Linked DNA regions of Xenopus tropicalis. The protein of the gene in region 3 purifies or fractionates together with the protein of the main gene of each other region. This does not show direct contact. Links are inferred from orthologs where the notes say so. Each region holds a gene or a part of one and is shown on either strand. Other genes may lie near its edges. The genes, in order: thoc6, thoc5, ncbp3, thoc2, thoc7, thoc1 and alyref.

Region 1 (3,500 bases), on a different chromosome or scaffold from region 3:
CTTTTTAAACAATGTTGCAAAGGTCTGGCTCCTCCAGAAAGACAGGTCTGTCAGGCTGCTGCCTCGTGTAACATTGTTTCATATGCCGGGGAATCGAAAAGGCCAGACACACACTGCTTCTAATAGAAATTACATATATACAAATAACAGAAAACCACTACATATGTATAATGAATGTATACTGCAAAGTTGCTTAGAATTTTGTTTTCTTTTATAAGGAATTTTGGGTTGACTTGCCCTTTAATTCCACCCAAATCGTCTTTATAGGGATAGTGCAGTGGGAACCTCATATTTCTCAGTGTTACCTCATATTTATAGACTTCAATCTTGTGAGTCTGAGCCCCATTTCGAAGATCTGCAAGAAGAGATGATGATGAGGAGGAGGAGAAGGAGGAGGAAGAGGATGATTTAGACAATATCAATAAATACTATGATACTCCATTCACACTCTCACCCCATATCCTGACAGTTCCATCTTCGCCGCCGGACACGCACTCCCTCTGCTGCTCACGCAGGGCCAAGCAGTGAATATAATCCTCGTGTCCTTCCAGCGCCATCTACAGACCAATGAGACGGTTAAAGGGGAACTTTGCCTTTACAGAAACTTTGCCGATTAGAAAAGGAACTTTTTCATGGACCTAATATGGTTTTTAAATGAATAGCCTTCCTATTCTGTCTCTTGATGGCATGCAATTAAAAAAAGCTATTTGGTTGTCAGGGTCACTGCCCCTAGCAACCAAAAAAAAAACTTCTTCAACATTAAATTTAAAGGGGTGGTTTACCAATATGTTCTAAGCAACTTTCCAATTGGTCTTCATTTTTTTTATCTTTTATAGTTTTTGAATTATTTGCCTTCTACTTCTTCCTCTGTTCAGCTTTCAAATGGGGGTCACTGACCCCGGCAAAAAACTTTTGCTCTGTGAGGCTCCAGTTTTATTGTTATTATTACTTATCTTTTTATTCAGCCCCTCTACTATTCATATATCAGTCACTCTCTCAAACCACTACCTGGTTACTAAGGTCAATTGGACCCTAGCAACCAGAGAACTGCTGAAATTCTAACCTGGGGAGCTGCGGAACAAAAAGTAAAATAATGAAAAAACTACAAATAATAAAAAATGAAGACCAATTGCAAATTGTCTCAAAATATCACTCTCTACATCATACTAACGTTAACCCAAAGGTAAATGTGCCATCCGGTTAGTAAAGTCACTAATCCTAAGGGGTATGTTACAGAATGGCATATTCTTAGCACCTTTGCAATTAGTCTTCACTTTTTATTTTGTATAGTTTTGAACTATTTGCCTTCCTCTTCTGACTCTTTCCAGCTTTCAAATGGGGGTCACTGACCCCGGCAGCCAAAAACTATTGCTCTGTGAGGCTCCAGTTTTATTGTTATTATTACTTTTTATTACTTATCTTTTTATTCAGCCCCTCTACTATTCATATATCACTCTCTCAAACCACCCCCTGGTTACTAAGGTAAATTGGACCCTAGCAACCAGAGAACTGCTGAAATTCCAAACTGGAGAGCTGCGGAACAAAAAGTAAAATAATGAAAAAACTACCAATGATAAAAAATGAAGACCAATTGCAAATTGTCTCAAAATATCACTCTCTAAAGTTAACCCAAAGTTAAACAATCCCTTAAATGTGCCATCCGGTTAGTAAAGTCACTAATCCTAAGGGGTATGTTACAGAATGGCCTATTCTTAGCACCTTTGCAATTAGTCTTCACTTTTTATTTTGTATAGTTTCTGAGTTATTTCCTTTCGTTTTCTGACTCTTTCCAGCTTTCAAAAGGGGGTCACTGACCCCGGAAGCCATACAGGATAGTTTTGTGAGGCTAAAACGTTGTTACTTTTTATTACCTTGCCTATTCAGGCCCTCTATGTTCACATTCCAGTCCCTCATTCAAACCAATGCCTGGTTGCTAAGGTAATTTAGACCTAAGCAATGTGCTGAATTTCCAAACTGGAGAGCTACTGAACAGAACGCTAAATATTTAAAAAACAACAAATAATAAAAAATGAAGACCAATTGCAAAATGTCTTAGAACATCACCATGTACATCATACTAAAAGTTATTTTAAAGGTGAACAACCCCCTTTCACTACGTATTTATATATAGGCACCCAAGTTGCCGCCCTCTGGCCCTAAGGTGTGTGTATAGAATGGGTTCAAGGTACTTGGCAATGGGAAGAACCTGCTGCAGGGTGTGGGTGTTTAGACAACAACAGACGTCAGCCCCACACCCCGTATGACATAAGCCTCAAGTCCAGGAAGCAAAACTACCAACAGTGCAGATTTTATGGTTTTATTATTCTGATGACCAATCTGACTTCTCAGGTTCATTTCTATCCATGAACAATAGCAGTGAGGACCTGAGGGAGCTGAGAGAGCCAGGAGGGCCTGTGGGCCACATTCAGCTCATAGGCTTCCATTGGCTGCAGCACGTGCAACAGACACCAATCACAAGACTCATACTAAGCCACACCCCCATACTTACCGTAAAGGTTCCACTCTCCAAGTCCATAGAATGAATGTTGCATGTCCCCCCAGCAAGGAGCAAGGAGTTATCCTGAGAGGAAATAGCAATGAAGGAAACAAAATCAAAACAGTGAGGAATAGGCATGAGGGCTTTCCATAAAGGTGTTTAGGGGGGAGGAGTTTAGAAGTAAATGTAGGGAGAAACAGAGGTTTGGGGTACTGGTTGTACTGGGCAATAAAATGGGTGGGTGGTGTAAGGCTATAGGTAGTTACCCTAGTGAGCAGGCAGCAGGGCAGAGTTCATCAGGGTGATATTTAGAGGTGAGAAGATAATGACTAGGAATGGGTTTTATGTAAGTAAGTGGGGGCTGGTTGAACTGCAGCTTGCTGGTGGGGGGAGTTAGAGTAAAGCAGGGCCGGAACTAATGGGAAATGATGGAGATGGGGGGGCGCTAGGCAGGTACTTCTTCTGCCTACCCTTAAGGTCCCCATACACGTTGAGATTCGCTTGCTTGGCTAGATGGGTGGGCGATATCGGGGAGCGTGTAGGTAAAAAAAAAAAATAATAATTAGATCGTTTGGCCCCAGGGCCATATATTGGCAGCAATGGGGCAGTCGGTTCGGGGGCACCTGGCCGATCGATATTTGGCCGATTTCAGGCCAGATATTAGTCAGGCATGCCCCTCGTTTATGCCCCTACACGGGCCGATAAGTTGCCGAATCAGTCCAAGGGACCGATATCGGCAGCTACAATCGGCCTGTGTATGGGGACCTTAAGTCAGGACTCTCTTGGCCCCACTGTAATGCTCCCCCACACACGCTCATGTGTGCACTCTTTAGTGTGCACGTGTTGCACATATGGGGGGGTGAGGAGGCCGACCAGGTGGCCTAGGGCACCCAGGGGGCTAGGCCCACCTCTGGAGTAAAGAAGGGAGGGATGGAGGCTGCTGGGAAAGGAAGATAAGTGAAGACGGGTAAGGAGAGGCAGGAAGGTTATTAGAGAGGAGAAT
Region 2 (4,285 bases), on a different chromosome or scaffold from region 3:
TTCAAATTTGACTTTTTTTTTGCAGCTAAAACCACGAATTCGAATTTCATGAAATTTCATGATTTCTTAAGCAAAGAAAACTCTGCACACTGCCTTGATGCTGACACAATTGAAACTAGATGAATAAAACAAGTTTAACTGCAAAGTCAGAAACCTGTTAAATTAAAAAGCCAAAGCAAGCATTCAACTATTTATCAGGCTCAGTTTCACTACAGCCTATGCATGGTGTCTAATATTGCCTTTGATGGGCAGAATTATCTTCCTCACAAATAATAAACACAAACAAAATAACCTAAGACCCTATAATTTATAGAACATATATAGAAAAGTAAAACTCTATTCTTCCTTTGCAGAGTATATTAGAAAGTAAGGGACAGACCTACCTCATGAGTTTGGTCTCGAGCTTTCTTAAGTCGAATGTGGGCCAAGCGATTGAGCTTCTTCAGAGTCATGAAGTGAACACAGCTTTGGACCTTTTTTTCTTCTATCTCCATAGCCTGAGGAAGGAAGTGGCCACTTTAAATATATCATGCAACTAGAACAATTTATAAAGCTCTGTGTCCCACTGCTAAAGGACATATATAATGTAGGAAAAAAAAAAATCACTGAGCTTTGTAAAGAAAGTTCCCATAATGCCTCGCTCCTGCACCAAGACAGGTGTACATGCTCAGTTTGTAAGACTATGAGGAAGCTGATTGGCTCAGATCCACATTCCTAAGGGGGGGGGGGGGGGGGGGGGAGTTCTTAGCATTCTTGAGGGAGGGGGAAGCAAGAGAGGAGAGAGCTGCGTTTCTCTGGCACAGGTGACAAAAAATCCTGTTTCTTTTGATCGAAAAATCAGTGCAGCGTTTCTGCGAGTGCTTATGACTGTATTTACATGGACCTTTCTGATAAAACTTACTTAGTTTTTACCTTTCCTTCTTCTTTAAAACCCTGGCTACTGAAGCTCCTAGCTTGAATAATTGGTGGTTCAAAAGGTAATCAAATGAAAGCTATGCATCAAATGGCATATTTGGAAATCAGCTGCTATAATAAAATAGCCTCTAGCCCAAACCTGGCCCTAAACAAAGAGACCTGACTGGTCAACCCAGAACACCACACATGACCAATAAAGCCTCTCTCAGTGAGACTAATGACAGAATCACCAAGAAGAGTCAGTAGAATAGATTTACCAACAAGTTAATTTATACAATACTTAAATCAGAGCAGAGTCAGCTGCCTTGTAAGAAGCCAATTAAAGCCACTTTCAGAGCGTTGCTTGGACTTTCTATAACAGCAATCAAACATAGTTTGCAAATAACTAGCCTTCAGGATAAAAAGACAAAAAAACTGTTTCATTAAATCAAACAACCATATTTCTAATAAATTCCACTAATACCTCAAAGGAATGGCATTGGATTCCTGCTGCAAAATTAGTTATCACTTGGATGCACATTTTGTAAATCACCTTTCTCTCATAATCTCATCAGGGCAAGGCTGTATTGTGTAATGTGTTTGGGGGGTGACCAGCTCCAACAAGCAGAAAGCATTACTGTATAATGATAGTAAATGCTTCTGTCAGAGCTAAACTCCAGCCCCACTGAGCATGCATAGTACTAATGGCACTCAACCAATGGCATAAAAACATGCAAGACAGGGAGTTGTTATGGACAACATTGAAGTCATAGATTGTTAATCATACAGGGATTTGTAAGCCTCTAGACTCGTACAGTACATTCAGTACATAAAAACACTGCTTTCATTTTCCTGTACTGTCTACATGATAATCCTCTTTAATACTCAGCAGCATATGAGAGTATAGTGGCCTTTTTTAGCACACTCACACTGTCTTTGCCTCCTTTGTTCTTTAAATCTTGGATTTCAGACATCAATCTCTGCAAATCAAGACAAGTGTCTTTGTATAGTTGATAGTCTTCTCTTGGATCTCGTACATCTACTTCAGCCTCTTCACTGTAATATCGACCCTCCTGCCATATCAGAAAGCAATAAAAAGTGTAAATATCAGAATAAAGTTCTACACCATAACAAAAATATATGAACACAGTAGACTGAACATCAGTGCATTAAACACACAGTAGGTTACCTGCTCGTCGTGGCGACCTCTCTTGCCATCCTCATTTCGATTTACTTTGGGCTTTCTTTTCTTTAAAGAATCTGAAGACATTTCTATCTGGTTTGGCATATACTATAAGACACAAATATTTTTTGTTCAACTGTACATAATCACTATACTAGTAAATAAATAATTCATAGAATTAAAAGTCAGATAATATATAATAAAGAAATCTATCCAGTAGGACCCTAGTACCTGTTTGCCTGCAATTTCCTGCAACCCAGCAAAGTGTGAAATTGCAAAATAGAAAAAAACAAAACCACAAAAACAAGAATGAATAACTGCAAGCTGGAGAGGTCTAATAAATGGCACAATGAAACTTAACAGATGTCCACTGCCAAGTATGAATTGAGAATCCAGTAGCAAATTCATAATATTTCTACAATATTGTCTAAATGTGGTTGACTATGGCAAGTTAACGTTAATGGTAAATTTAGAAGTATTTTACCCCCCACCCCCTGCAGGGCCAACATTGGCGGGGGGCAGCCGTCCAGGGCCGATGGGTTTTGGGTGTTCAGGGGGGCCTGGCTGCGCTGCACTTACTTGGATTATTTGGTCCCCTTTTCTCAGCTCCGACTTCAAAAAGAAAGGCAGTCGCTTAAATGAGTGTAAGCTCCTTCCCCTACTATCCCCACACCGTAAGAATCATCTCGCGAGACTTGCGTCACAACGATACATGACGCATCACGTAGCCGCCTGTGTGAGTGACGAGCCGGCGTAAGCGGACGTTACACAGTCGGAAGCGAATGATAAATCGGACAAGGACTTTGCATTCCACTGTGGCACCTGCTACCTCCGCTTCCGATTTCCTTAGCAGTCATTTATTTTTGTTTAAATGTACAGCTCTGCGCCAGGGAACTAAAATAAAGTATTTCCGTTATTGCTAACGAAGCCTATTCTCCAAATTTAACCAACACGGAAGGAGGTTTTGTGCAAACTAAGACCAATAAAACTGTACTCATTTAAGTTTGTGTGTGTTTATTCCATTATTATTGGATACACAAGTGAACCTGCGTTATGCAGCGTAGCTTTTCGTATCTTCCTGATGCTCTTGCGCCTGTGAATGGAGCGTTCTGTGACGAATGATTGATCAGACAGCCTGTACCTCAGCTAAGCACAAGGACAGTGCTTGTTCCTAGCTCTCCCCCACCCTTTTTCCAGAAAGAACAAAGCAGGTGCTTAAAATACGGCACATCTATAGGTCTGGGACTGCAAGCAGCCCTATTAAATGCTAAGTAGTGTAAGTACGGGGATATGATGGAATCCCTGGGTGCAGGTAGGGTCACTTCACAGGTTCATTATCCCAAGCAGGGCCGGCCTTACCAACTGCGGGGCCCCCTTAGTACATTGTGAATTATGCCACGATAAGGACTTTAGCAGGTAAGGGCCTGAACTCTCCTGGATGAGAATTCTGGCAGCAGTGTTTAATATAGACTGTAGGGGGGAAAGATGGGAGTTAGGGAGGCCGATTAGTAGCAGGTTACAAGAGTCAAGTCGGGATAGGATGAGAGCATGCATGAGCAGCCTAGATGTTGCAGTAGAGAGAAAGGGACGGATTTTGGCAATATTGCGCAGGAAAAAGTGACAGGTTTTGACAGTGGTGTTAATATGGTCAGAGAAGGAGAGACAGGAGTCAAAGATCACCCCCAAACAACGTGCCGAATCGACAGGGTTGATGAGGGTGCCATCAATAGAGATAGAAAAGAGGGGGGTAGGACCAGGCTTAGGCGGAAAGATCATTAGTTCAGTTTTTGTTAGGTTCAGTTTGAGGTGGTGTTGGTTCATCCAATTAGAGATAGCCAGGAGGCAGTTAGAGATTTGAGTCTCAGTTTCGACTGTTAACGAAGGGGTCGAAAAGTAAATTTGGGTATCATCAGCATACAGATGATATTTAAAACCAAATGAACGGATAGGATCTCCCAAAGACAGCGTGTAAAGGGAGAACAACAACGGCCCAAGTACAGAGCCTTGGGGTACCCCCACATTAAGAGGAACTGGAGATGAGGTGTTAGCATAGGAGACAGTGAATGAACGGTTAGAGAGGTAAGAGGAGATCCAGGATGCGGCCTGACTACGGAGACCAATCGAATGCAGAATCTGCATCAGGAGGGAGTGGTCAACCGTATCAAACGCAGCCGATAAATCTAGGAGGATTAGTATAGAAAAGTGACC
Region 3 (3,500 bases):
TATACCGTGCATACATAAGTATTTAAAGGAGAAGGAAAGGCTAATAAAGAGTTCATCTCAAGCTGCAGGCATACCTTCCCTTCTCTCAATAGTGCCCTTAAGTCTCCGCATATTTCTCCCATTCAGATTATCAGAAGCCACACAGGAAGAAAAAACTGAGCTCTGTAGAGAAAGTTCCCATAATGCCTCACTCCTGCACCAAGAGCAAGACCTGTGTACATGCTCAGTTAGACTATGGGGCTGATTTACTTACCCACGAACGGGTCGAATGGAGTCCGATTGCGTTTTTTTCGTAATGATCGGTACTTTGCGATTTTTTCGTATGTTTTGCGATTTTTTCGGATTCTGTACGAATTTTTCGGATCCAATACGATTTTTGCGTAAAAACGCGAGTTTTCCTATCCATTACGAAAGTTGCGTAAAAAAGTTGCGCATTTTGCGTAGCGTTAAAACTTACGTGAAAAGTTGCGCATTTTTCGTAGCGTTAAGTTTTAACGCTACGAAAAATGCGCAACTTTTCGCGTAAGTTTTAACGCTACGCAAAATGCGCAACTTTTTACACAACTTTCGTAATGGATACGAAAAACTCGCGTTTTTACGCAAAAATCGTATTGGATCCGAAAAATTCGTACAGAATCCGAAAAAATCGCAAAACATACGAAAAAGTCGCAAAATGTTCGTTTTCAAGTCGGAACTTTTCCAATTCGGGTCGGATTCGTGGGTTAGTAAATCAGCCCCTATGAGTCAGCTTCCTGCTGATTGGCTCAGATCCACCTTCCTAAGGGGGGGAGTGAGTTCTTAGCATTCTTGAGGGAGGGCGGGAGCAGGAGAGAGCAGAGAGCTGCCTGTCTCTGGCAGAGGAAAACAGACGCAACTAATCTTTTGTAATTTCTTATGGCTGTATTTACATAGACCTTTCTGATAAAGCTTACTTAGTTTTTACCTTTCTTTCTCCTTTAATGTGCAGTACATAAAGTACATAATGGTGCATACCATTATGTATGCACCGCACCAAAAAGCAATTGGTAATAAGCTGATTGATGTGGCCCTCTTTCTGCTCCTTAGATATATTTGTATCAATAGTAAAAGCTCACCCTTGTGTCCTATAAGCTGCCCAATTCATAAGCCATTTGCACCATACTCTACTCAATGAATGATTCTGTGAAAGCTCCATACAAAGAACTCATGCAGTTTATTACAGTGGCTAAAGACAGCTTTTTTGTGTTTTTCAGGGTTTATGGTAGAGCAGGGAATTTGGAATGTATTTCCACTGTTGTGTATGTTTTATGTGTGCAAACGAGAAATCTTACTTGAACATCCAACACTGAATATACATTAAATTAAGGTATTTAAATTCCTTAGTCAGTGAATTCTTTTCCTTTTTGTCTAAGGAATGATTAATGCTAAAAGCTGGGGTTTATGGTCCCCAAACTGACACAAGTTTAACATATTGGATAGGTTTTACCTACCAGCCAGTGAGAGAAATGTATTATATAGTGAAAGTTAGCATTGTTTAGAACTATACATACCTCTCACCAGCGCACCACTTCTGTGATAGACAGGGTCAAAGTCTCCAAAATTTGTTTTCTGTATTTTTTGTTACAGATGTTTAACTTTATGTGGGTGGTGTGCTTCCTAATGCACTTGGTACTGGACATACTGCAACTATGGACTGTTAATTGTTTCACTTTAGACTAAAACAGTGAATAAATTGTTGTATTTCCTTTCCATGTTGAATCCTTTGATTGCACATTTTAGAATGCTGTGTATTTTACTGTACAGATGTGTGCCAGCAATCTATGCAAGCTGTGTTCATGATTTAGTTTTGCATTTTCTCCTTAGGTAACGTTGTGTGGCTGGATGAGGTAACTCCGTCTCGTGCTTTGTTAAACCTAAGCAGTATGCCCACTAATGAAAAAGGCCAAAGAAAAAAAGATGGAGAGCACAGTTCTGCCAGATCCAAAAAGGGTAAATTCTTCTTTTTATCTCGCCATCTGACATAATCATTACTCTCATACCCATAATGGTTTTTAGGATAACTGCATGCACAATACCTCTTTGGAGCTTTTAGTCCCACAAAATGATATCTTGTTTCAGGTTAAAACATTTTAAAGGAGCAGTATGCACCTATAACACCCTTTTGCAACATGAGCAAAATAAACAGAACCTGTGCTGAAAGTACATGTGAAAAAACAATGTAAATGATTATTAATATAAATAAATAAAAGGGAGAAGACACACTGGGCGATTAGTCGCCACGACTGTTAATGAAGCCAGTTTCAGCGAGTACAATGGCCATCACCACGACTAATCGCCCCATGTGTCTTCGCCCTAAAAATACATAGTTTTTAGTTATTTGTGTTGTAAAACAGTAAGAGAACAATGTTTTGCTTCCACACTTACTATCCTACCATTAGTTAACTTACTTATAGATACTGAGCCCTTCTGTCACTATTTTATTGTGGCGGTTTTGTTAGAAGGAGTTCATTTATTCAGTTGTTTATCTGTGCTCTGGTAATCTGTTTATATTTATGGGACCTGTTATCCAGAATGCTTGGGACCTCAGGTTTTCCAGATAAGGGGTCTGTCCATAATTTTGATCTCCATGCTTTAAGTCTGCTAAAAAAAATTGTTGAAAGTTATTAAACTCCGAAGGATTGCTTTGCCTCCAATAAGCAGTAATTATATCTCAGTTGAGATCTAGTACAAGGTACTGTTTTATTATTTCAGAGCAAAAGAAAATATATTTAATATTCTTGAATTATTTGATTAATATGGCATCTATTACGCCTTCCCGTAATTTGAAGCTTTCCGGATAATGGGTTTGAGAATAAAGGATCCCATACCTGTATTAACTTGTAAAATCCAAACATGGAGTAGTTTCAGTTTTTTTATTTCTCTGTGTAGATAAAGAAATAACAAAAAACATTGTTGAACATGTTGAACAAGGGGTCATACTGCCCCATTAATAATTACCTTGGGCTGGTACAGAACCTGTTAGCCTACTTCTTTGGAGATTTAGTTTTCCTTTAAGTAGTTTTTGCTAACGGTGATGTACATTATGTTTTGGGTTTATGTACCAGCCCAAGGCAACCACAGCCCTTTAGCAGGGAAGATCTGTGCCTCCAATCCCCCTATCTTCTTTTCTGCTGATAACCTGCCCATGCTCTGTGCTGCTGTCACTCACCTGAGCTTAGGGACCGACACACAATATGCTGTATATACAGTGTATAATAAATACTATACAAGGCTAATTGGTAATTAGTAATTTTTAGAGTTTATTTAAGGTAAGGGTTAGTTAGTTCACCAGACTTGCTTTTTATGATTTCCTTTCAGTTGAATTTAAAGATTGAGTCCGCAACAACCAAAAAGTTATTTTTTTTAATAAACATCTTTATTATAATCCGTTAAAACAAACCCCATATACAAAGCCTAATGTGTTTCATGCTAATCTATAAATACATGGTATAGAGCACAACCCACCTTTATTAAAACCAATC
Region 4 (3,500 bases), on a different chromosome or scaffold from region 3:
GAACCCAGTGGAGAAACCCCTTCTTCTTTGTACAGAGTAGCAGCTGTGCTTTTGCAAAACAATCTCATTGAACTGGAGGATCTTTATGTGCATGTAAGTTTAATGTGGCGCCTTTTTTTTTTTTAATTTATAAACAAATTTATAGCTGCCACTTTTAAATCCCTGTGTAGTAGGCTATAATAAAGCAAGCCAACTGCAGGTCCAAACCCAACTTTGCAAGTTTTCATTCCAGCAATAGTCTACTTGAATGAAACATTTACAATGCAAAGGGTATATTCATTGGATTGAGGTATCATAAGTTCATGGAAATTTACCTAAGGATCTTTAAGAATAGTGTTATCCCACTTTGATAACGCTAGCAGTGATCCCCAACCAGTGGCTCGTAGGACCATGTTGCTCACCAACCCCTTGGATGCTGCTCTCGGTGCCCCCAAACCAAGTAGTTATTTTTGAATTCTTGACTTGTTGGCATTAAGGTTGAATAAAAACAAGATTTACTACCAAATAAAGCCTCCTGTAAGCTGATAGTGTGCATAGAGGCTGCCTAATAGCCAATCTTAGTCCTTATATTAAACCTCCATGAAAGTTTATGATGCTTGTGTTGCTCTTCAAGCATTTTTACATTTGACTGTGGCTCATGAGTGAGTAAGGTTGGGACCCCTGACATTAGAATGATTATATAAAAGAAGTCTGTGAAGTCACTGTTCAATAAAAACGAATTAAGAAGCTACATCCAACCCATGACTCTACAGGTAGACTGTTAAATACAGTTGGTAAATAACTGCACTGTGTTGTTTCAGCTTCTTCCAGCAGAGAGTACCATTATTGAGGAACACAAGAGGGAAGTGATAGAGGCCAAGCAGATTGTCAGGAAGCTTACCATGGTGGTCTTGACCTCTGATAAAACTGAAGAAAAAGATAAGGAAAAAGAAAAGGATGAAGAGAAGACAGAAAAGGTATCTTCTTTGACCACCGTTTGTTAAAATTAAGTTTTGCTTTAAATGATAATCTTAGCATCTCTTCAGTAACATTATTGGTTTGATTTAGTTTTTTATTTTGCCATTCTCAATCTAAGGATATTACATTGTTATTACCCCACCCCCATAAGGGTAAATGTAAATATGTTTTGAAGTTGAATAATAATTTTTGGACCTACTCTGTCTCATGTAATGTGTAGATGCTCATGGTGTGGCTGCTGCAAATAGGTGATACATAGAGCCTTCAATTCTTCTCTTCCTTAAAAAAAATAAGCAGCCATTCTGAAAGGAACTTAGTTCAGTTCTTTAGTTCAAACAAGCTTTTCCACTTTTTTGGGCCACTGAAGAACATTAATCCATTAAGACATAGGTTTGAGTATTGCACAATATAAGCACTAGCTTTCCAACCTCCATGGTCGAACACCAAAAATTGTATATGCCTAGCTAAGTACCTGTAAATAGAATCTGATCAAAGAGGTGTGTGTGTTAAATGGTGGCAGGCCTGACTGTGCTTTAGAAGAATTTATGGCAGTATACACTGTTGTTTACTGAGGCTTCTTTGTTCTCAGCCTCCTGACAACCAGAAGCTGGGCTTGCTGGAATCACTGCTAAGGATTGGTGACTGGCAACATGCGCAAAGTATTATGGACCAGATGCCTCCATATTATGCTGCTTCACACAAACCAATTGCCGTGGCTCTGTGTGATCTTATTCATAAAACTATTGACCCACTTTACCGAAGGTAAGTCCAGATTGTCCTTATGCTAGGTTAGCATTCTTACAAAATTTTTTTTTTTTTTTTTAAACAATTCTTATTTAAAGGGCCTAACTTTTAATGCTAAATTGGGCTTAGGGAAAAATTATACTGGCATAGATTTAGGTTACCTCTCACCGTGCCTTGTATTAAAAGTTCCTTATTTGGCCATTATTGGCAGACCATGCCTGCAATGGTTATTTTGTTGGCCAGGGGCTACAGACCCAGTGCACCTTTTTCCTCAGCAAGTTGCGTGTAAAACGAATTTCATTTAAGTTACTTTCATCAAAATGTGCTCTGTGCCGCTCAGTTTTTCCTGCCTTACCATTCCGATTTGGGAGTTGCTGTGTCTGTTGACATAGGGAGCCCTGGAACTACTGCAACCCCCTGACCAAGTGGTCACTAGGGTTCCCTTTGTGCCATGTGTGAATAGGTGCAGCACACTTGTGCCTAAAGAATCAGACACAGACGTCACTAGCACCCGAAACACCAGAAATTACACCAGGCAGACTTCTAAAATAGCGCAACTGAATTTTGGCAAATCTGACACAATTGTGCCAGGTGTGATGCCCCCCTTGGTGCTGCAATGACTATTGCATTCTGGGGAAAAACATAATGACAGTAATTGATTTTTACTCACTCCATCTGCGAATGTATATTAGTCCTCATGTCTTCTTGGGATTATAAACACAATAAGGAAGTGATATAAAATTTGGGGCCAGGCTATGAGTGAGCCATTGGTTTAAACAAGAATATAACTGCTGAGAAAATAGTAAATGTGAGTCCTTAATATATCCAATAGGAAAATACAAAATAAGGGTGTAATGTGTCTCTGATGGAAGAATATAGAGGGAAAATAGTCACAGCTGGGGAGTGACTTTTGCTTTAGGCGTAGTATATGACATATTTTATCTTATTAAATTGGTGTGGGTGTACTGAGCCATCATGGTTAGGAGACTTCAGGTTGCCCAAAGGACTGCAGTGTTAGACATTTAGCGCACTGGAGACTATAATACTAAAACAAAAGAGAGTTGAGTGATAGTTTTTTTAATTTGCACTTAGATGCAAATGACATCTAATTGTTAGATGCAAGTTTAAAGTATGCTCTGACTACACGTAAGCAACTTGTATTTGGCAGTCGGAGTTGAAATACTTGCAAGCACGTACAAAAATCTCTAATTTCACTGGATGTGTATTGTATTCACGCATTTGCTATTAGCTGGTTTTTTTTTTTCATTTCTCTGCAGGGGCTCTAGACTTTTATTACATTCCCCCTTAATGTTTAATTTCTGTGAAATATCTATTGGACTGTTTTTGTATCTCTATTTGGTTTCATAGGTCGGGGGTACCCAAGGGTGCCAAAGGATCTCGTATTGTTCCTTTACATAGCAAGAAAGCCCCAAAACCAGCGGAAACATTTGAAGATTTGAGGAGGGATGCTTTCACTATGCTTTGTTACCTGGGCCCACATCTTTCTCATGACCCTATTTTGCTGGCTAAAATAGTTAGACTTGGAAAAGCATTAATGAAAGAGGTATGTTTGATGCATTTATTTGTATGGAAAATACTATACTTGTTCTTAGCCCAGTGGTTTGTTGTCTCACTGCTGTCTTCGCTGAGAACAGGTGCAAAATGAAGTCATCACTTGTTCTATCATGGAAGCTAAAATTCTGATTTCTTCTGGTAGAGAAGTGAAATATTGTTACCAGATGGTTGCAGAGAACCTATTGGCATTGCTACTACCTGTAATAAGGTTCCCAAGATAGATT
Region 5 (4,274 bases), on a different chromosome or scaffold from region 3:
GTACTAGTGCTAGTCTAAGTAATGGGGAGTACTAGTGCTAGTGTAAGTAATGGGGAGTACTAGTGCTTGTGTAAGTAATGGGGAGTACTAGTGCTAGTCTAAGTAATGGGGAGTACTAGTGCTAGTGTAAGTAATGGGGAGTACTAGTGCTAGTCTAAGTAATGGGGAGTACTAGTGCTAGTGTAAGTATTGGGGAGTACTAGTGCTAGTGTAAGTAATGGGGAGTACTAGTGCTAGTGTAAGTAATGGGGAGTACTAGTGCTAGTGTAAGTAATGGGGAGTACTAGTGCTAGTGTAAGTAATGGGGAGTACTAGTGCTAGTGTAAGTAATGGGGAGTACTAGTGCTAGTGTAAGTAATGGGGAGTACTAGTGCTAGTGTAAGTAATGGGGAGTACTAGTGCTAGTGTAAGTAATGGGGAGTACTAGTGCTAGTGTAAGTAATGGGGAGTACTAGTGCTAGTCTAAGTAATGGGGAGTACTAGTGCTAGTGTAAGTAATGGGGAGTACTAGTGCTAGTGTAAGTAATGGGGAGTACTAGTGCTAGTCTAAGTAATGGGGAGTACTAGTGCTAGTGTAAGTAATGGGGAGTACTAGTGCTAGTGTAAGTAATGGGGAGTACTAGTGCTAGTGTAAGTAATGGGGAGTACTAGTGCTAGTCTAAGTAATGGGGAGTACTAGTGCTAGTGTAAGTAATGGGGAGTACTAGTGCTAGTCTAAGTAATGGGGAGTACTAGTGCTAGTGTAAGTAATGGGGAGTACTAGTGCTAGTGTAAGTAATGGGGAGTACTAGTGCTAGTGTAAGTAATGGGGAGTACTAGTGCTAGTCTAAGTAATGGGGAGTACTAGTGCTAGTGTAAGTAATGGGGAGTACTAGTGCTAGTGTAAGTAATGGGGAGTACTAGTGCTAGTCTAAGTAATGGGGAGTACTAGTGCTAGTGTAAGTAATGGGGAGTACTAGTGCTAGTGTAAGTAATGGGGAGTACTAGTGCTAGTGTAAGTAATGGGGAGTACTAGTGCTAGTGTAAGTAATGGGGAGTACTAGTGCTAGTGTAAGTAATGGGGAGTACTAGTGCTAGTGTAAGTAATGGGGAGTACTAGTGCTAGTGTAAGTAATGGGGAGTACTAGTGCTAGTGTAAGTAATGGGGAGTACTAGAGCTAGTAATGGAGTGCCAGTACTGGTATAATGGCAGCAGGTCCCAGGGCAGCACGGATTGCAGTGCAGTTATGTAGAAATATAAATACTCGGGGCAATAATCATGTCAGGAATGAGGAAAGGGAATGGGGCTGTGACTCCCAGCTGAGTGGCACTTACCTGCGGGGCCCGGGGAGGCCTGCCTGGGGCTGTGTGTCCGGCTGTGGGCAGGAGGCGCTGGGCCGCCCGACACTGGGGGGAGCTTATAGGGAAGGCGAGGCGGTGACCGAGGCCTCCATGCTCCTGCCTGTCTCTCCGGCTGCTGCCGCCGCTGCTGCATTCTGGGAGTCTGACCTCACTGCTACTCGCCGCCACCGCCATGGGAGCCGTCACCGACGGTAAGTACAGCGCCCTCCTACCCCACCGCCTACACCCTCCGGCTCGGCCTCAGCTCTGCCTGCCCGGGTACCGACCGCGGGAAACCCACACCGGCCGGCTAGGCCGCAAAGCCCCGGGCTCGAGTTAGGGCTCTGGGGGAAGGAGAGCGGTACGGACTTCCGGCCCTACTCCCCGCTCAGCGTATCTTATATGGATAATATTATATATATATTTATGTAGTGCTACTTAGTCTCATATGGATAGTATATATATCGCTGCTGTATCTATCCTAGGGACAATATATATTTATACCGCCACTGTTATTCTGTATGAATGGATGTACTCTGTCTCTATCTTATGGGTATGATATATATATATAGTAATCTAATCAGATAATCTGTCTATATCCTAATGTACATGTACCGCTGTGTATATATCCTATGGATACTTTTATGTATACAGAGATTTCACCTACTCACTTTTTCACTGTTACTGGTGACTTAATGGGTCTCATTGACTGTTAGCTACACACACAGGGCACTCAAGTAGGGTTTTTATAAAGTTGCCTGGCATAAATTGTAGACAGACTGCTATATATTTTATATTATTTTGTATCAATAAACCAGTCACCATTGCCCAAGGTGCTAGGGACAATTTACAGCCACTATTATTTTGTATGAATTATATTTATGTACCTTTACTCTGTCTCTATCTTATAAATATGATAAATGTAGTAATCTAATCAGATAAGCTGTCTATATCACAATATAATATACATGTGCTGCTGTCAATAAATCCTATGGATACTTTAATGTATGTATACAGAGATTTCACCTACTCACTTTTCACTGTTACTGGTGACTTAAAATGGGGGTCTCATTTGCTGGCAGCTACACACAGGGCACTCAGGTGGGATTATTTTCTATTGTTGCCTTGCATAAATTGCAGATAGACTGCTATATATTGGCACAGGATATATGATATGACCATGTATCATTTTGTATCAAAAACCAGTGACCATTGCCCAAGGTAGTTTGTTTGGCCAGATAATCATAATAATATGTGAATCTGTGTATTTCTATATAATGATCAGCACCCTCACAAGTCTTTTTAATTTCATTTAGAGCTCATGTTATGATCAGTTTAGTCAGCCTTTCAGCCATGGTTTATAGCCCTCAAGATTCTGAAATTTTATGTCAGACTGAACACCACACAGTTCTTTTTATAAGATGTCAGTCTTATAAGGGAGATCAGTGATACTGTCAGGCATTTTTAAGACCACGTTCCACTTTACAAGAAATGGTAATATGGAATATTGTTTTTCCAGGCCACTCATGGGAAATATCATTATCTCCCTGATAGTATGGGGTTAAGTCTATTAAATATACCTGTTGGGTACCCTGCACCCTCTTGGTCTGCTATCTCTGTTGTTAGGTTTACCTTTGCCTCCTTAACTAAATGGTGATCAGCTTTCCATCTGCAAGAGTCCTCCATTAGATTTCACAGGCTGGCCAAACCACATATCCACACTTATTCATGAAATTTAGATATGTTTGATTTTTGCAGATGCAATGTTTCTAAGCAAAATTACTTTGACAATTCCTTTGAATTAAGTCCAGGTAACTTGGTACTTGGCACCAGTATGGCGCACATATACTGCCACCTGGGATGTCTCTCTCTGTGGATCTAGAATTCTTGGAGATGCTAGGCAGGGTATCCAAATCTATCCTGTTCTGTTACTGTATAACTGCTTGATGGTAACCTTCTCTTACACAGTGACCTGTCTTTGTGCAGCAGCAATAAAATCCACTATTTCCATTTCCTTCTGTTCTTTTCCAGATGAAGTTATCCGCAAAAGACTTTTGATTGATGGAGATGGTGCCGGAGACGACCGAAGAATTAACTTATTGGTAAAGAGTTTTCTGAAATGGTGCAACTCGGGTTCCCAAGAAGAAGGGTAAGAGGCACCAAGTGACTGTGGCAGTAGTTCCACAATGTTATTTTTATTAGCAGAACTGAAGCTTCAACCAGTTTCTAATCATGTCTGGGAAAAGTATGATTCCAAAATTATTGCTTGGTAAAATTCTTTGTGGAGATTTCATAATTATGGAAAATTCATTTTCCCTCTGGAAGAGAAAGCAGCAGAAAATATGTATAAATGTAAGGCCATCATTGCTGAGTAATCTGTGCTGAAACAGTCCAACAGGAAGGGCAGAATCCAGGTTACTCTGAAAGGAGATTTTGAACCCCATGCTTACCAAAGATTGCTATTGGTTTTTTTTAATTTTACTTCAGTGTCAACTGGGTTGCAAATGTGTTTATAAGATAACTGCTAAGTTGGAAACCAGATGTATATATGAAACTGAATGTTTATGGGACCACTAAAGCCATACTAAAACTCTACTGAAAGGTATGATAAGTGGAAAGGCTGCTGTCACTTTGCCACTTCCCAGCGCAATGAGGTAGCTCAGTGGATTGCAGATGGGTTGCCAAGTTTAACTAATTACATCTCTTGGTGACAAGGAAGGACGAAAACAGTTCTAATGTCCCCTAGGAAAGCACTAAAGTGAGTCTTGCTGGGCAGCCAGAAAAGGGTAGGGTTGTATTTGTCTTTTTTTGCTTCAGGTAAACATAAAGGTCTGGACTATTCAACTGAAAGCCCGTGGGTTAAATATGACCTGCTACATGGTCAAGAGCTCCATAGGCCACATCTGATGGCATCATTGTGAAATGAGATTGTATGCTATGGGCCAGTTAACAGC
Region 6 (3,500 bases), on a different chromosome or scaffold from region 3:
AAAATCAAAACATTAAACCCAATAGGATTGTTTTGTATCCAATAAGGATAAATTATTTCTTAGTTGGGATCAAATACAAGTTACTGGTTTATTTTTACAGAGAAAAAGGAAATTTAATTTGAAAAATCTGAATTAATTAATTAAAATGGAGTCTAAGAGAGACAGGCTTTCCGTAATTCAGAGCTTTTTGGATAATGCGTTTCTGAATAACAGATCCCATACCTGTATTTAAATTTCATTGTGTTAACAAACTTTGCTTCCCCTTATATTTGTCTCTGCAGATAAACCAAGTATCATGTGAAAACTGTCTAGCTATTATATCACTGGCCATAAATGGGGTTACAGATGGTAAGTATTAAATCAATGACAAATATATCATATTAAGAAGGTATAATTCATAGTGTCCAACCTCCTGTTTAGATTTTGGAATGTCTTACATTTCTGTGTAAAATGTGCCTATGGCAGACTGAGAATGAACAAAAGGAATTGTCCCTGAGAGAATTCAGCGATAGTCTTGCCTTGTTGATAGCTCAGAGCAAATTATTTCTATCTCTTAAATGCACTGAAGAGCCTGCATGTATGGGATTTGCATTATAAGGCAGCTTCTTCCTCAGTAAAATGAACCCAAGTAGAGTAAAAGCATTTGTACCAGGGTGCCAAAGCGGATTTGACTCTCCAGAAATACTACCTGAAATTCTATCTTTTATGTAAGCCTTTTGAAAAAACAAGAAATCAATTTGAAATCAAATTAAATTATCTCCTCCGTTGCCCCTTCCTGGTGCCAGCTTCTCCATACTAAACATTTTAATTCAACCTCATGTTCTATTTATTTATTTCTCTTCACATATCAGTTTTTTACTGTAATAATTTTTATTGCATCACATATATCCACTTTGCCCCTTCCACACTTGTGTTCAGTGGGACCAAAGGAAGTCTGAGTGTACATTTGACCCTCTTGGTTGGTGCTCCTGTTAGGAGAAAACAGTACCAGCCCGGTAGCTGCGAACGAGTGATCTTCTTCCTCCTGTCTTCTTTTTTTTTTTTGCGATCCCGGGGCTGACGTATGAACCGTAGAGTGAAAAATCCAGCTTTTTTGTTTAAGTTCATCTTCGCAGTCTACTGCGCATGCGCAAGCGACATAAAGACAGAAGAGGCTCGCTCTATCCCAGTTACCCTGGACTGGTGTGGGAGATTACAATCATTGGGGGGGGTGCCAAACATTTTGGCACCCCCAGTGACTGTACCTTTCCTCCTTTAAACACCCTCTTCTCTTTACTGCTCACCATCCTCTTTTTATCACATGTCATTTGAATAAAGGGACGATATTTAGTAAGACCAAGCAAGCTGCACTAAACACAATGGTTTACTTACTTGCTGTTATTTATTTTTTTTAAAAAGCGTGAGCTGCCCCTCGTGCTTGCTTTGGGTTTTTCCCATTAAGAATTCTGCAATTGGCTGCAAAATTGATGCCGTTTCTATGGAGACTGCCCAAGTTACTGTTCAAGTTACTGTTTTATTATTACAGAGAAAAGAGAAAAATAATGTTTAAAAATTAGAATTATTTGCTTTGTTATACAGGCAGGGTTGAACTGAGGGGTGAAGGGCCCTGCAGGTGTCCCTTAACCCCCCTCACAGGGTCCCCCACCTGACGTCCTACTCCGAGCACGTAAATTTAACATGGCAGGGAAGGAGCGGTCAGGCAGGGGGAGCACTGCAAGAGTCGGGTCTGGGCCGCCGGGGCCTACCGGGATTTTTCCTGGTGTCCCAACGGCCCAGTCTGACCCTGTATACAGGTGCTTTCTTTTGTTTTGGGGATGTTGCACAGTATTCTAACAATATATGTTTTCAGGTATTTGCACTGCAACGACACCATTTGTGCTCTTGGGAGATGTGCTTGACTGTCTGCCTCTAGCGTACTGCGACAAGATCTTCACTTTTGTTGAGAAAAATGTTGGTACCTGGAAATCTGTAAGTAAAGTTGTGTGTGCCCTTTTGAATGTATAGAGGCACTCCTATGCAAAAGAAGAATGATTCTACCATATTATCATTCTGTTCAACCCTCTCTATTTTTAGTATGTGTTTTACTAATTTACACACATCTGTACGTTCATGTAGTTAGCTACATTGATACCTGGTTACTGGTGCACGTATACTTCTTCTTGGACATAAATCACAGTGTGCAAAAGATTGTGTCAGGGAAAGTGACAGCGTGCATTATGCAATATATTACGTCTGCATCTCTAAAAACAAAAATGCTCATCAAGTAATTTTATTTTTAAGGCTACTACCAACTAATAGGGATTTGTACATTATTATTGTCATAGCCCTTAAAAACCTTTTACATGATGGAGCTGTGACGGGAGGGCACTCTTTGTATGTTTCTTTTTAATTGTTTCTTGTCAATTTAAAGACACAGTGCACCTTTCCAAAACTTATCATTTTCAAATGGTATATTGCAAATATTTTTATAAATCTTGTTTTCTGTTTTTTTACAGTTATTTTTTAATCTAGGTTAAATGCTAGGTTGTGACCTGCCAAATTTGATTTTGTGAGAATAAACTGCCCCGATAACCTTAAAATGATATGCCAATTCTAATTCTGTAAATTGTAAAGATACTTTAATGCTAAAACATTAACCACTATGCCTTTTCCAGGCCTTGTGTTAACTAAAGCCACTAAACAAAAAAACTGCTTATATATTTAACCTGTATCAGCCATATGAAACTTTGTCATGACTATGCTTTTGAATTCTGCACCTATTTTAGTCCTGGTCCCCATGTCATGATCACAGCCCTACTCCAGTTTCACCATTTTGTTACTGTGAATGCATAAATGTCACACTGAACTTGTCTCTACATGTGCAAGTAGAAATGGCCTAGGGAAGAGGGAACACCTATATCTGTCTGCACACAAAGAGTTTTTGTTCTGTGACTTGCTGCATGAAAACTGACCATTAATTCCACCCCCATGTTCTGAATCAAAATTCCAGTATATTTCTTATCACTAAATATCAGACAAAATCATAATTTTTCTTCTAGAATACATTTTACTCAGCGGGGAAAAACTACCTGCTACGGATGTGTAATGGTGAGTGCCCTATTTTCTTGTTTTTTTTTTTTAATAAAAATATTTGATTATTTTTAAGAATGCACCAAATCTAGGATTCAATTTGAGATTTGGCTAAATTCTTGCAATAATATAATTTCTATTTATTAGTTACAGGAGAACTTACAAGTTGCAAATAGAACACTTCTTTAGTAAGCAAACAGCAGGTCAATGCATTTCAATAAAGTTACAGCTTGTACAATAAGCAAAGGTATTACAAGCGTGCATACTAGTGGGATTTATTCCCCTCAATACAAATGGTCAAATTGTATCTCAGTGAGCTCCTTAGTAAATCCTTTCCTGCGTCTTGTAGGATAGCCAATATTGTATTGTACTTAGTGGCATGAGATTTTAATATAGCAGTACAAACACATTTATTCCTGGGCAGTAAGTAA
Region 7 (4,032 bases), on a different chromosome or scaffold from region 3:
TCTGAAATCACACTGCACTATTTATAACTTAAAGTAACACTGAAACAACATTTTAATAGAGCAGTGCCACACCAGTACACAGGCGCGGGCCAAGCTGTAGGCAACCCGGTCAGCCACCTCGCCCCTGCACCTTTCCCCACCCCCCCTCGTGTGTGCTTTGGCCTGCATACGCAGGCCAGGGGTAGGCAGGAGAGGCTCCTGCCTGGCGCCCCCAAATCGTTGCACCCTAGGCAGCTGCCTCTTCTGCCTACCCCTAGTTTCGGCCCTGCCTGTACATCAGAAACATGGAAGGGCACGAGGCAAAGGGCCATATTTTCTAGATATATGCGTGAGGGCCCATGAGGGCCAGTGATACCCAACCAGTGGTTTGTGAGCAACATGTTTCTTCCCAAACCCTTTGGATGTTGCTCCCAATGGCCTCAAAGCAGCTGCTTATTTTTGAATTCCTGGATTGGAGGCAATCCAAACAGAGCCTCATTTAGGCTGCCAGTCCACATAGGAGTGTGGCCCACAGGTAAGAAAGGTTGGGGACCCCTGCTGAAAGCGCTGGGGGGGGGGGAGCGGGGACCCCTGAAACTTGTAGATTGTAAATAATAATGTACCCCCTACTAAAATGTAAAAGTATTTTAGAATCTACTGAGGTCTATAAGCTTTATAAATGGCTTTGTTCCTTAGAGAGAATGTTCTCTCTGATTCACTGTTCATTCAAAAATGATCTTTTGTGTCCTTTTAAAAACCAAGGAGGTGGATCAGAATACATATAACATATTTTTCACACAAACGTCTGTGATTTCAAATATACTTATAAACCACACAAGGGACTACATTTTTTATACATGTGCATTAAATAATCAGCGTGTTTGGCGTTCCAACATAATTGTGGAACAACGTGAGAAGTATCGTAATTAAACACTTCCATTTCAAGATACAGGGGAGCGATCGGTATAGAGGCGCTTGGAAAAATCTGAAACTGATGCAGCTCATTATAAATAAACTTTATTTTCAGTTTAGGCTTTAGTCTCCCACCTTGAAACAACTCGTGGCAAGAACTGAAAGAGAGGTTACTTTTGTTTGTTAGTTTAAATGTTAGCCTAACCCGGCGGAAGTGACGCAGGGAGTGCCGGATATGCGGGGCGGGGCTATTTAAGCGCGGCTCACACCGGCTGGATAGTAGTATTGTTCCAGGACAGGCCGCATCCGAGCACGCTACACGGTTAACTTGAGAAACATCGCCGCGATGGGGGACAAAATGGACATGTCTCTAGATGATATCATCAAGCTTAATCGGAGCCAAAGACCGGCCGGAAGGGGCCGGGGTGGAGGACGGGGTGCTCGGGGCGGGTCGGCCCGCGGAGGAGCCGGAGGCCGAATTGGTGGAGGCCGCGGAGGAGGAGGAGGAGGAGCGGCGGGAGGCGGAGGGCCTATGCGGTCAAGGCCTGTCCTGACCCGCGGCGGAAGGAACCGGCCCGCACCGTACAGCAGGGTAGGAGAGGCGGGGGCAGGGAGGGCCTGTGGCCTTACAAAGGCGCCGGTGACCGGAGGAGGCAGCCGCCCGGAGAGGTTTCGGTGTGTGCCCGACCGATCAGCTGCTGGAGTGGTGACATCCATGAGGCCCGGACCGAGGAGCTGGGGCCCGGTCTGAGAAGGTTTGCGCAACGGGGGATTATGGGCCTGGGGCCGCCCCCTGTGTCCGGCGCTCCGTGGGGAGGGGATAGCGTATCCCGGAGCAGCTTCTCCCGGGTGTCGGCCTTCTGGTCCGGGCTGGGCGGGTGGGATTGGGCCCCGGGAGCCCGCGCTTCTCTAGTTCCTCGGTAACAGTAATAGAATAACATAAGATTCCCGCACTTCCAACATGGCTGCTACTGCGGGGGGTTGTGAGTATAAGTTAGGGGGCAGCGCTCCTGGCCGAGGCTTATACAGCTCTAAGCGCTAATCTCTCCGTGAATTTCTGTAAATGAATGTTAGTTCCTTAGATTTTCTTGTTGTTAAACATGGAGATATGAGCTTCACTTTTGTTCTGAGGCTGAGCCAAATGTGGGCCCTAATCATACAGTGTAGATAATCCTAGTGCCATTGCCAGGCCTGGGAGTTACAGCTCAGCTTGGAATATCTTTCCCACCTGACATTTTTTATATCTGATAAATGTTTTTTTCCAAATGGGAAACCCAGTTGTCCTACAGCTCATGGAATTGCTGTGCTGCAACAGTGTTTGAGCAACTGCACTAACAGTTAGTGTTAGCCGGGCTTAGGGTGGGGGGTGTTAAATGTTAGTCCCCTAGTGCTTATAATTGCTTACCCGATACCCCAGGCCAGTACCCCTGTTCCCTAAACACTGCACCAGCCTTAGAGAAGGAAAGGTACAACCACTGGGGGGGGGGGATATTGGACATCCCTGCAGTGATTGTAAACGCTTACCTGAAACCTCTGGGGGTGCTCCTGTAAGGAGAAAACTGCACCAACAAGGGGTTAACTGCATATGGGTGAGTGGAAAACCAGCTTTTTTTTAACTTTTGGCTTTTTGCTCCACTGGGCATGCTCAGACAGGAGGACCCCTTTGTCTGCACCCGACTGGTGCAGTCTCACTGAGGGGGGCTAACATTCTGGAATGTTTGTAACTTTCATTTTAAGTGAACAGGTGCACCGGCCCAGGGTATCTGGTAAGCAGTTATAATCACTTTCCTTCTCTATGTATGGAAGCTGCCAGAGCTTTCAGCTGACTACCAGCCACTCTTGGTAGTCTCTATAGAAATTGTGCCCATGGTTCAGTGTTTTGGTGTGTACAGGCGTAAAGCTGGTAACATTTGTTGGGGTTGTGTTGTAAAAGGATATATTTATATATAAGGGATGCACGCTACACAATGAGGTGTTTTCATGTCATGATGCTACATTATACAAATGTCCAAATACATTTTATTTTTTTCCTTAGAAAATTTGAGTCCTTGCATAGATCAGTTAACCATTAAACGGTCATGCCTTCACTATTTCTTTGCTGAACTATGGCTGCAAGTAATACCATATTACCCTGCAAGTAATAGCAATGCAAATGTTTAATCCCTAGATATTACTAAAAAGGATAAAGGGGAAATATTCCCCTTTATTGCGCAGCACAAGTGAAGCTGAAATACTAGTACTTTTACTAGTAGATTAAAGCTACTTTGTTGTTTTTATTTGGAAGTAGATAACAAATTCATTGATAAGTAGATATGTTTTGCAGAGGGGTATTGCTAGTAATCAACTGCCTACTTTACAAGAACCAAATGCAGCTGGGGAACCACTGGGCAAGCATGTCGCATTGTTATTCATTCCTAGTTAGCGCAGTCCATTAAACTATATGCTATGCAGTTATGGGATCCCTTATCCAGAAACCAGTTATCCAAAAAGTTCCAAATTACGGAAAGTCCATCTCTTGCATTATGAGCAAATAGTTCTAATAAAAAAATAATTTTCCTTTGTAATTAAACTTTACCATGTACTTGATCCTAACTAAAATATAATTAATCCTTATCAGAGGCAAAATAAGCCTGTTGGGTTTGTACAATATTTAAATTATATTTAGTAGACTTAAGGTATGAAGATCCAAATTCCAGAAAGATCCCTTATCTGGAAAGCCCCAGGTCCCAAGCGTTCTGGATAACTGGTCTCATGTACTTGTAAAGGTTAGTTACTAAGTAATGCTGCACTTCTCAGGCAGTGAAATATAAGGTAAATGTTGGCATACAAATTTCTGTTTTTGCAGTAAGGACCATTTACCAAACCCTACTTTAGCTTATGTTTAAGAATGCTTACCCAATGGTAGCGTCATGCTTTTTGCAACTTGCAATTTCCAGGAGGTCAGGCACCATATTCCACTACTGTGCATGTTCCAGCTTCTCCTAGCAACTTATTAGCATAGCATTACTGGTATTGACTGGCAATTGACATTATATTGTAACATACCCCCCTGATGTCATTGTAGATGCACGGAAGATTCCCAGCATGCGTTTGTGCTAGATTAAAGGTGGCCATACACAGGCTGATTGTAGCTGCCGTTAT

What was found.
Region 1: the proteins of ncbp3 (region 3) and thoc6 purify together in Homo sapiens (co-immunoprecipitation; 3 studies listed by BioGRID and IntAct, with this or other methods). This does not show direct contact. The link is inferred for Xenopus tropicalis from reciprocal best matches to the Homo sapiens genes NCBP3 and THOC6.
Region 2: the proteins of ncbp3 (region 3) and thoc5 purify together in Homo sapiens (co-immunoprecipitation; 3 studies listed by BioGRID and IntAct, with this or other methods). This does not show direct contact. The link is inferred for Xenopus tropicalis from reciprocal best matches to the Homo sapiens genes NCBP3 and THOC5.
Region 4: the proteins of ncbp3 (region 3) and thoc2 purify together in Homo sapiens (co-immunoprecipitation; 3 studies listed by BioGRID and IntAct, with this or other methods). This does not show direct contact. The link is inferred for Xenopus tropicalis from reciprocal best matches to the Homo sapiens genes NCBP3 and THOC2.
Region 5: the proteins of ncbp3 (region 3) and thoc7 purify together in Homo sapiens (co-immunoprecipitation; 3 studies listed by BioGRID and IntAct, with this or other methods). This does not show direct contact. The link is inferred for Xenopus tropicalis from reciprocal best matches to the Homo sapiens genes NCBP3 and THOC7.
Region 6: the proteins of ncbp3 (region 3) and thoc1 purify together in Homo sapiens (co-immunoprecipitation; 4 studies listed by BioGRID and IntAct, with this or other methods). This does not show direct contact. The link is inferred for Xenopus tropicalis from reciprocal best matches to the Homo sapiens genes NCBP3 and THOC1.
Region 7: the proteins of ncbp3 (region 3) and alyref purify together in Homo sapiens (affinity purification with mass spectrometry; 4 studies listed by BioGRID and IntAct, with this or other methods). This does not show direct contact. The link is inferred for Xenopus tropicalis from reciprocal best matches to the Homo sapiens genes NCBP3 and ALYREF.

The regions. Positions count from the first base shown.
Region 1 is NC_030685.2:12,483,242-12,486,741, forward strand, and holds part of thoc6 (THO complex subunit 6 homolog), read right to left. Parts: intron 2,582-3,500; coding exon 2,510-2,581; intron 558-2,509; coding exon 455-557; intron 356-454; coding exon 306-355; intron 1-305. UniProt on the Homo sapiens protein: Component of the THO subcomplex of the TREX complex which is thought to couple mRNA transcription, processing and nuclear export, and which specifically associates with spliced mRNA and not with unspliced pre-mRNA.
Region 2 is NC_030677.2:144,818,867-144,823,151, reverse strand, and holds the start of thoc5 (THO complex subunit 5 homolog), read right to left. Parts: upstream 2,801-4,285; 5' UTR 2,657-2,800; intron 2,326-2,656; exon of another isoform or gene 2,309-2,325; intron 2,186-2,308; 5' UTR 2,183-2,185; coding exon of another isoform or gene 2,165-2,182; coding exon 2,084-2,164; intron 1,968-2,083; coding exon 1,824-1,967; intron 498-1,823; coding exon 384-497; intron 1-383. UniProt on the Homo sapiens protein: Component of the THO subcomplex of the TREX complex which is thought to couple mRNA transcription, processing and nuclear export, and which specifically associates with spliced mRNA and not with unspliced pre-mRNA.
Region 3 is NC_030678.2:48,495,625-48,499,124, forward strand, and holds part of ncbp3 (nuclear cap-binding protein subunit 3), read left to right. Parts: intron 1-1,842; coding exon 1,843-1,968; intron 1,969-3,500. UniProt on the Homo sapiens protein: Associates with NCBP1/CBP80 to form an alternative cap-binding complex (CBC) which plays a key role in mRNA export. NCBP3 serves as adapter protein linking the capped RNAs (m7GpppG-capped RNA) to NCBP1/CBP80.
Region 4 is NC_030684.2:48,835,130-48,838,629, reverse strand, and holds part of thoc2 (THO complex subunit 2), read left to right. Parts: coding exon 1-93; intron 94-800; coding exon 801-956; intron 957-1,546; coding exon 1,547-1,719; intron 1,720-3,069; coding exon 3,070-3,265; intron 3,266-3,500. UniProt on the Homo sapiens protein: Component of the THO subcomplex of the TREX complex which is thought to couple mRNA transcription, processing and nuclear export, and which specifically associates with spliced mRNA and not with unspliced pre-mRNA.
Region 5 is NC_030680.2:145,033,231-145,037,504, forward strand, and holds the start of thoc7 (THO complex subunit 7 homolog), read left to right. Parts: upstream 1-1,474; 5' UTR 1,475-1,513; coding exon 1,514-1,532; exon of another isoform or gene 1,533-1,691; intron 1,692-3,351; coding exon 3,352-3,469; intron 3,470-4,274. Other genes in the region: atxn7 (ataxin-7), read right to left, coding at 1,315-1,474. UniProt on the Homo sapiens protein: Component of the THO subcomplex of the TREX complex which is thought to couple mRNA transcription, processing and nuclear export, and which specifically associates with spliced mRNA and not with unspliced pre-mRNA.
Region 6 is NC_030682.2:108,266,480-108,269,979, forward strand, and holds part of thoc1 (THO complex subunit 1), read left to right. Parts: intron 1-281; coding exon 282-348; intron 349-1,849; coding exon 1,850-1,968; intron 1,969-3,038; coding exon 3,039-3,087; intron 3,088-3,500. UniProt on the Homo sapiens protein: Component of the THO subcomplex of the TREX complex which is thought to couple mRNA transcription, processing and nuclear export, and which specifically associates with spliced mRNA and not with unspliced pre-mRNA.
Region 7 is NC_030686.2:27,893,665-27,897,696, reverse strand, and holds the start of alyref (THO complex subunit 4), read left to right. Parts: upstream 1-1,232; 5' UTR 1,233-1,237; coding exon 1,238-1,483; intron 1,484-4,032. UniProt on the Homo sapiens protein: Functions as an mRNA export adapter; component of the transcription/export (TREX) complex which is thought to couple mRNA transcription, processing and nuclear export, and specifically associates with spliced mRNA and not with unspliced pre-mRNA.